Cricetulus griseus: one gene and its partner. The protein of the gene in region 1 interacts with the protein of each later gene in a pairwise test. Links are inferred from orthologs where the notes say so. Each region holds a gene or a part of one and is shown on either strand. Other genes may lie near its edges.

The links. The genes of interacting proteins can lie anywhere in the genome.
Region 2: the proteins of Smurf1 (region 1) and Wfs1 interact in binary tests that used the Homo sapiens proteins (3 or more experiments, as listed by UniProt). The link is inferred for Cricetulus griseus from reciprocal best matches to the Homo sapiens genes SMURF1 and WFS1.

What each region holds. Positions count from the first base shown.
Region 1 is NC_048597.1:81,285,026-81,289,157, forward strand, and holds the end of Smurf1 (E3 ubiquitin-protein ligase SMURF1), read right to left. Parts: intron 3,542-4,132; coding exon 3,442-3,541; 3' UTR 540-3,441; downstream 1-539. UniProt on the Homo sapiens protein: E3 ubiquitin-protein ligase that acts as a negative regulator of BMP signaling pathway. Mediates ubiquitination and degradation of SMAD1 and SMAD5, 2 receptor-regulated SMADs specific for the BMP pathway.
Region 2 is NW_023276807.1:105,936,611-105,940,182, forward strand, and holds part of Wfs1 (wolframin), read right to left. Parts: intron 3,128-3,572; coding exon 2,983-3,127; intron 1,610-2,982; coding exon 1,439-1,609; intron 958-1,438; coding exon 877-957; intron 1-876. UniProt on the Homo sapiens protein: Participates in the regulation of cellular Ca(2+) homeostasis, at least partly, by modulating the filling state of the endoplasmic reticulum Ca(2+) store.

The sequences.
Region 1 (4,132 bases):
AGCAGCTACGACCTACACAGCACTTCCAAGTGAACTGTCTCAGGATGCTGTGAGGAGATACAGCATCACCTCAGAGGTGAGTAAATGGTATTTTTGACTTGAGAGAAGTTTACAACGATGGAATGTCATAGTTTTCTGAGAAGCACCTGCAGCAGGAAGGGCCCTCAAAAAGTTAACCCAGGGCATGGTGACCCAGGATTTCTGTAGATTGTAATAGAGTCCAACAGAAGTTTGTGCATGCAAATTCTGAGCAGTCTTACTCAAAATAACCAAAAGCAGAGAGAGTGTGCAAGGAATTAGCTAACCACCTGGTGAGGTGGACAGAGCCCCAGGGAAGGCACAATGCTCCCACCTCAAGTCCAAGGTGTCAGGGACAGATTGACGGATACACTAAGACTGTTTAAGCACTGGTATTTCCATTTGTTTTCCCCAAAGTCCTAGCTTTGCCTCTTTTCCTTGGAGGCTGAACTTCATTGCTGGTGAAGCTAGGTTAAATACATCCAAATCTTGTTACCACATCAAAGTAACAGATGCCAAAAGAAAATGTAAAGTTGTGAGTTTATTGCATATGTAACAAAATGAACCTGACCTCCCGGGTCCAGCCTGCTCTACAGTCAATGTTTTGTGTTTCCAGCTGGTTCCACAACTGCATTAAATAGAACTAGCATTTCTTTAAATACTTTCAATTCAGACATAAAACAGAACATTAGTGTACAACTGTCACAAGTAAATGGGCGATAAAAACTGGGAGAGCAACTAGGGTAGCAGCAGCACTTCAAACAGGACCTTACAAAATAAATTAGAATACATTATAAACACATTTGAAAAACCCACACTGTTTGAGAAGGCTGTCATGTGGCCCCCACCTGGCTGCAGTAGGGCGGGGTGTTTTCTCTGCAGAAGGTCAGTCCAGGGTCCGCCTATCCTGAACTTGACCATGTGGCCAAGCCAGTGTAGGTGTCAGCATCCCCACATCCCATCTTGTGGCAGGGCAGACTCTCCTAACAGAAAGCAGGAGATCGCGACCCGTGAACCGCTGCCATCCCATTGCTGCAGCCTGCGCTTCCTCTGAAGCGCTGCGAAGCAGAGTGGTGTTTGCTGCGTCCCTGAGTGTGGCTGCTGGCCGCTGGTGAGGGTAGCCTGGAGAGCCGGGCTCCTGAAGCATCTGGGTGATGTGGTGACGGTGGATCGTTTAGGGCCACCAGGAGGGGTGACAATCGAGATCTTACACGAAAGGGCTTCATCCAGACCCAAAGTAGGGCAACCAGGAGCTTAGCCGTGGGCCGGCCACGCAGTGTCCTTTGAGGTGTTTCAGAAGGGCCTAACCATGGTAGACAGACAAGGAGGTGCAGCGGTACCAACAGAGGACGGTGCTGCGCAGACAGATGCACCCGGGGGAAGCTGCGACACTCAGAACTGGCAATGGGGGAACCCACAGGCAATGCAAGCAGACTTAGAGGTGGTCTGTGTGCCTACTACAGTCAGCCCAAGGGCCCAACCTCTGGATCTTCCTCAGGACACCTGACCCGGGACTCCTAAGGCTTGTCCCTTATCACTCCCAATGTAACCCTGCTTTCCTTCATCAATGCAGACTGGCACAGTGCAAAAGCAACAGGCAGGTTTCCAGTCTCCAAAGTGTCACTCTGCAGGCTCTGGCTGGTTTCCACGGACTGGCTGTGGCTTAGGGCACAGGCTTCCTCAATACTCCGGGTCATGAGGGAGCCGGCTTTTAGAATGCCCCCAGAAGTGTTAAGGTAGATGAAATACAGAAGCCCTACTGGGGCAAGGCAGAAAATTGAGACTGATAAGGCCCCAGTCTGGCCTGGATGGCGGGACGGGTTCGGTTTTTGTGCAGTGAGGTCTTCCTGTCTCCAAACCTTGAAACCTAGAGTATGGCTGACTCACACTCTGTGGTATCAGTGGCTACCAAGCTGGCAAACCTCTTGGGGTAGAGTGCGTATGACCTGTGAATCCAGCCTCCCCCAGTCACTTTGGAGCTGCTCCCAGAGCAAGCTGGACAGAAGCATCAGGAGCAGCAGGGAAGTCACTTTCCCATGCCCAGGCTGAGGGTAAGCAATGAAAAGAACACAAAAGCCAGTGGCCCAAGAGGGCCTTCCTCATATCCCACATCCAACTCCAACTCATGGCTGAACCTGAACCCCGGTACCAATGAAATGTCTTGCTAATGAATTACCCTGTTCTCGCCCCTACCGCAAACAAAAATGACAAAACCACACATGGAAAATTGGCTGCTGCTCTGCTTCTACCAGAGTGCAGCTGCCTGAATCCAGCCCCTCTATCAAAAGAGTCACCGCTTCTGAACACTTGTGCAAACTGGAAATGGTGTTAGAGACATGGCGTTAGGCTGGCTTTGGCCTTGCTCATCAGAAGATGAAAACTGAGCAAGCAAATTGAGTAGAACTGTTAGCATCACCATTGCCACGGGGGAAGAGGGCCATGTAGGGAGGTAAAGCCCCCACCCTGTTACCACAGGCTCCATCACAACCTGCTTTGTGCATAGCACCAACCCTGGGAAGCTACATCAGGGGACCCCAGGTCAGCGGCCTCCTGCTGTCCCACCCAGTGGCTGTGGTGACAAAATTGTTCTGTTAGTTTAGCTCTTAGCAATCCCCATATAAAAGTCCATTAACATTTCAAGACAGTCAGGAGCCTCCAGTCCCTGGCACAGGAGTCAGCTGGACCCGGGGGGGATCTGAGCCTGGTTTTGGCCATTCTTTGATTAGCTCCATGACATGTGAGAATTTCAAACTGGGTAGAGAACATAGCAAATGGGACTTTAAAGATTGTTCCCCCTTGTGCAAAACCATCTTTTCAACCAGGATACCCTGAAAAATACCCTGGGCCTCCAGTGAAGGCTGCTGGATCCAATTCCTTTATCTCTCAGAGGGGAAATACATCCTGCCTTGAGCTTCCTGCCTGGGTGGAATCTAGCAAGCATACATTGCAGTTATTTCCTGCTTAGAAATCCACCTGCTATCTGGAACAGGCTGCTAGCTGGACATCTAGAATTTGAACTTAGTAAGCTATCGGCAGCTGCTGAACTTGAAAAGGGCCTTGAGGCTACACCGAGAGCGCTGGTACAGAGACCATGCAGACCCTCAGGGGCCCAGCTTGGCCTGACCATGGGTTGATGCTCCCACAGCCTTTCCACCATGCCAAGGAGGCTGAGGGCAAAACCTGGCTGAGTTTCAGTGGATGAGTCATGGAGGGGTGGGCAAACTATAATAAAGGAGGGATAAATGGGTGGGAGCCACCTATGAAAGTCCCCTGGCCTGCCCTCCCCAAAGGAGGAGGGAGACGAGCCTTTTCCCTCAGGTTTCTGGGATCTCAGGCCTCAGCCCGCCATGCGGGAGGCGTGCAGACGCCATATGCTTTGGGTCTGGTGGTTGTGAAGGAGACTCTGCTGCCCCTGGCCACTCCTCACTCCACAGCAAAGCCACAGGTCTCCTCCACAGCTGTGAGCAGCTTCTCATAGAGCTTCTCATAGGACTCATAGGGCGGGATGTCAATCCGGTTAAAGCTGGAAAAGGACAAAGGAGCCAGAGTCACTGCTGGGAGTCACCCAGTCATCTGCACAGTGGGTGGGATATGGCATCCCATCTCTGGTTGGCAAGAGCCCAACCATGTCAAGTTCTGAACACACACGGCTCAGCTTTCAACGCTGTTTGTTTGGGAGTTTTTGTTTCTTCCAATCAACTCAGAAAAATCTCAACATCTACGAAATCAAAATATAAACTTGTACACTTACTGATTGTTGTTTTGTCTCTGGGTGTGATTTCTCTACACTAGGAAGAACCCCTGACTGGCCTGTGATTAGCACTGGTGACCATCAGCTCTCCTACTGCCTACTGAGGGTCAGCCAATACACTGCAAGAGCATGCTGGGGCTCAAAAGAAAAAGGATGCCAAATCCTAAAAAGACGAGGTGGGTAGCAACCTTCCTACTTAAGATTGGAGCGGGGGGGGGGGGGGGGAGCACACGACACAGGGGACGGGACACTCCAAGTATTATACAAAGAGATACATCAATTGTCTCATAGTATTTTAAAAAGACAGTTAAGAGAAAGCAGTGGCTTGTGAATCGTAGGCACAGAGCAATCAGGAATGGTGTT
Region 2 (3,572 bases), on another chromosome or scaffold:
TATCCCACCTGTGTTTGCCAAGAGCCTGCTGTGCACTGTGCTTTGTTGAGCTCTGGGAAACACTGGGGACAGGTAAAAGAAATGCAGCATGTGTCAAAGGCTGGACTCCCAGCCTCCAGGGAAGACAAATGGTAGATACTGGCAGAGTCACCAAGAGCAATGGTCATGTTGGAAGTTCTGACTGGGCTAGCTGGGGAGGCTGCATTCATGAGTTAATATGACAAGACACAACTTTGAACCCCTGTCCCACCCACTGGGCTTCACAAGGAGGCTCTTGACTCAGCTCTATCAGTGATGAGAAGCCCCAAGAAGCCCTAAGCCCCCTCCCTGACATGTCCATCTTCTCCAGGATAGGAGCCTGGGGCCCTTGAACTACAGATTTCACCCCTTCCTCCCTCTACACACGGAGTGATGGTCTGGTGTCTTCTAATTCTCTGACCTCAGACATTTCAAGAGCACCTCCAGTTCTGTGTGCCCCAGCCTCTCTCCCATCCCACATGGATGATATAACACCCTATTTCTGCCTCAACATAAGTGCCCACACTGGGACCCCCCATACATACACACACTCCCAGTCAGAGCCATCTCCCTCACTGAACTTTCTGCCCACCCAGGCACCAACCCTGACTCTGGCCTTCACCTGGTGAGGACTGTCACACTGTAGGTCTGTTTCCTGCTGTAGTCTGAGCTCCCATTGAACAAGGCTCAGGTTCCAGAAACAAAAACACTGCCACTCAAAGGGACTGAACAAAAGTCCATTTAAGCCAGAGACTCTGGTGGGAGACCCAGGCTAGGATGCACAGGAAAGAGTGGATGCTGTGCTGGATGGTGTATGGGAGGCAGACAGTGGAGAGCAGGATGGGCATTCATACTCACATTCACTGCTGACTAGGCGCTCCAGCATGCGCCTCTGCTTCTGCAGGGACTTGGGGACCGGGCCTGGCTGTGCCCCTCCATCTGTAGGATCAGAGAGGATTGGAAGCTGGGGCTGCCGAGTTGTCATAGCCCACCAGGCATACATCCTCAGGATCCTGGGCTGTCACAGTGCTCAGGGATCACAGGGCTTGGGACCCCATCATATGCAAGGGTCATATCCCTGGGTAGCCATCTCGGAACCTTCCCACAAGGAGGACCAGTATGCTCAGTGTGGTTTCTACTCAGTGATGAAACACACCCCTCCCACCCTTCCCCTTTGGCTGGCACTGCACCATCTTCAGCCAACTAGTCAGCTCCCTGGGGGTGAGTACCAGGCTCCTGTTACTCCCTGTATCTCTGGTCCTTGAATCAGAAGCATCCCGGAATATACTTCAATCAATAAATGAACAATAAATGGTATTTACAGTCTTTGCCAACATGCCAGTCACCTCCTAACCACAGGACCCCAATCCCCATAGGGAAGCCAAGGGGAGGCTGGTTGTTGGTGATGTGGCTGGCCTACCCTGCTCATTGACCTGCCCGACATTTTCCAGCAGCTCGGACACAGCCACCTGCTTCTTCTTCTTGGGGTTGAGTTTCCAGTACATGACCAGGGCAGCCTTGCGCACGGCCCTCTCCAGGTCAGTCTCAGAGGACAGCTGCTTCACCTCAGCCTCGTTCTCAGAAGTGATGCCTGACAGACAGAAGCATTAGGCAAAGCCATGTCCCACAGCAGCCCCCAGGGACACTCGTACAGGGTCATGAGGGATCTGACTGGCTTCCTTGACTCAGAGTCGAGTTGATACCTGCCCCCAAAGTGCATCTGAGCCTATCCCCGACATCACCCATGCTCCAGATTGGAGGTCAGGCAGTCTGGCAATGCCTGGGTGTCCACTGGAACACAGGGCCGGCAGCCCTTCCTGGCTTGTTCCCTCTCACACCTCGTCCTCAGGGAACCCTCATCAGCAGGTACTACAATAGGGACAAGGCACAAAGCAAGGTGCTGTGGGCCCAAGTCTGAAGAGGAACAAGCCACCTAGAATCTGGGTCAGACTTGCTGCAATTACAAGTGAAACTGTGGCAAGAAGGGGACATACTCATGCCCACAGTGTTTCCTGGGCTGGGCATCTGGGAACACGGATTCTTCTACACAGAAGAAAGAATGCCAGGTGGCCCAGAGGAGTGAGGTGAGCAAAGACAGGGCCCCAGTGCAAATAGACATCACCTCTCTCAGGAGGACTGGACTTTTTATCTGCCCAGGAATCTTGGGGGAGCAATGCAGGGCAGGGCAGGGCAGGGCAGAGCAGGGGAGCCTGTGCTGCCTCTCCTTCCCACCCTCCAGGGCTGTGTGCCTGCCTCTGTTCCTAGGCAGCCCTGGGAAACAATGGTTCCAGACCACAGTCATGTGGGTTGCTCTCCCCTAACCTGGCCAGCCCTAGGTTACTCTACCTCCTGTGGTCTGGGCAGATGAGCTAAGATACCTTGGCTGACAGAATAAAATGGGAAAACCATTCTTGTTTTGTTTCTCCCCCAAATGACCAGTCTAGTTGTCAAAGAGAAAAGATTCCATATACTAAATGAAACCTTGAAAACACTGATATATACAGCATGTCTCCCTGGGCTTTGGTTATGAGTAACTGTATCCTTGTGACTTCAATATATTGCAAGTTTTATACAGCAAGCATAAAAATTTACAATTAAAAATCAATATCAAAATTCACAACCACAACAAAAACTCAGTGAAGCACCTGTGTTACCTTCCTCAGACTTGGAACCTACAGGACACTTATACTCTGGGGCCCTTGGGACAACTGCCTTCTTCTGACTCTAAGATTTACTTCCCAATTTGGACTAGAACCCAGAAAGGAAGTGGGACTAGTTAATTACTACCTGCAGACCCTAAGCACAGGACAAGGAATTGGCCTGGCATGTGAAGTACCTGGAAGATTTCAAAAATCTCTCAGGGTGAGGAGGTGACCAAAAAGACCTCTCCCTTCCCAACAGCATGGCCAGCACTGTAAACTGCTTACCCTGCAGGCAGTGGCTAAGGGACTCATACAGCCTCACCTTTCCTGTCAGCCAGGCACCGCCTCAGTAGCTTCACAGCTTCCCGCCTGCCCTGCTTGGCTGCCAGGATTAGCCAGGCCACGGCTGAGCAGCTGTTGAGTTCTTCATCTGCGTCATTGGCAAGTCGCAGGTAGTGTTTGCCCACCTGAGAGCAGAGACATCCATCATACTCCAGCTTCTGGGACTCTGTTCTCTTCACTATGAGGCAGGTGTAGAACCTTCTATAATGACAGAATGTGGGCTCTACACCGTGCTTAGCTTCTTCCCTTGTTCCTGCGTACTGGGTGCAGAACCCCATCATGGTCAGAAAGCTAAAAGAGCTGAATCCATTTGCTGCCTCTCAAACAGCTCAAGCTGGAGAAAGGCAGCCAAGAGAAGCCCTGGTCCTAGGCTAGATTACTATTTATCTTTATAATAGAATTTTAAAATAAAAAGCATTACATATATTTATTCATTTATTGCGTGTGTGTGTGTGTGTGTGTGTGTGTGTGTGTGTTGTGTGTGTGTGTGTGTGTGTGTGTGTGTATGCCATAGTATACATGTGGAGGTCAGAGGACAACTTTTGGGATTCGGTTCTCTCCTTCCACCAT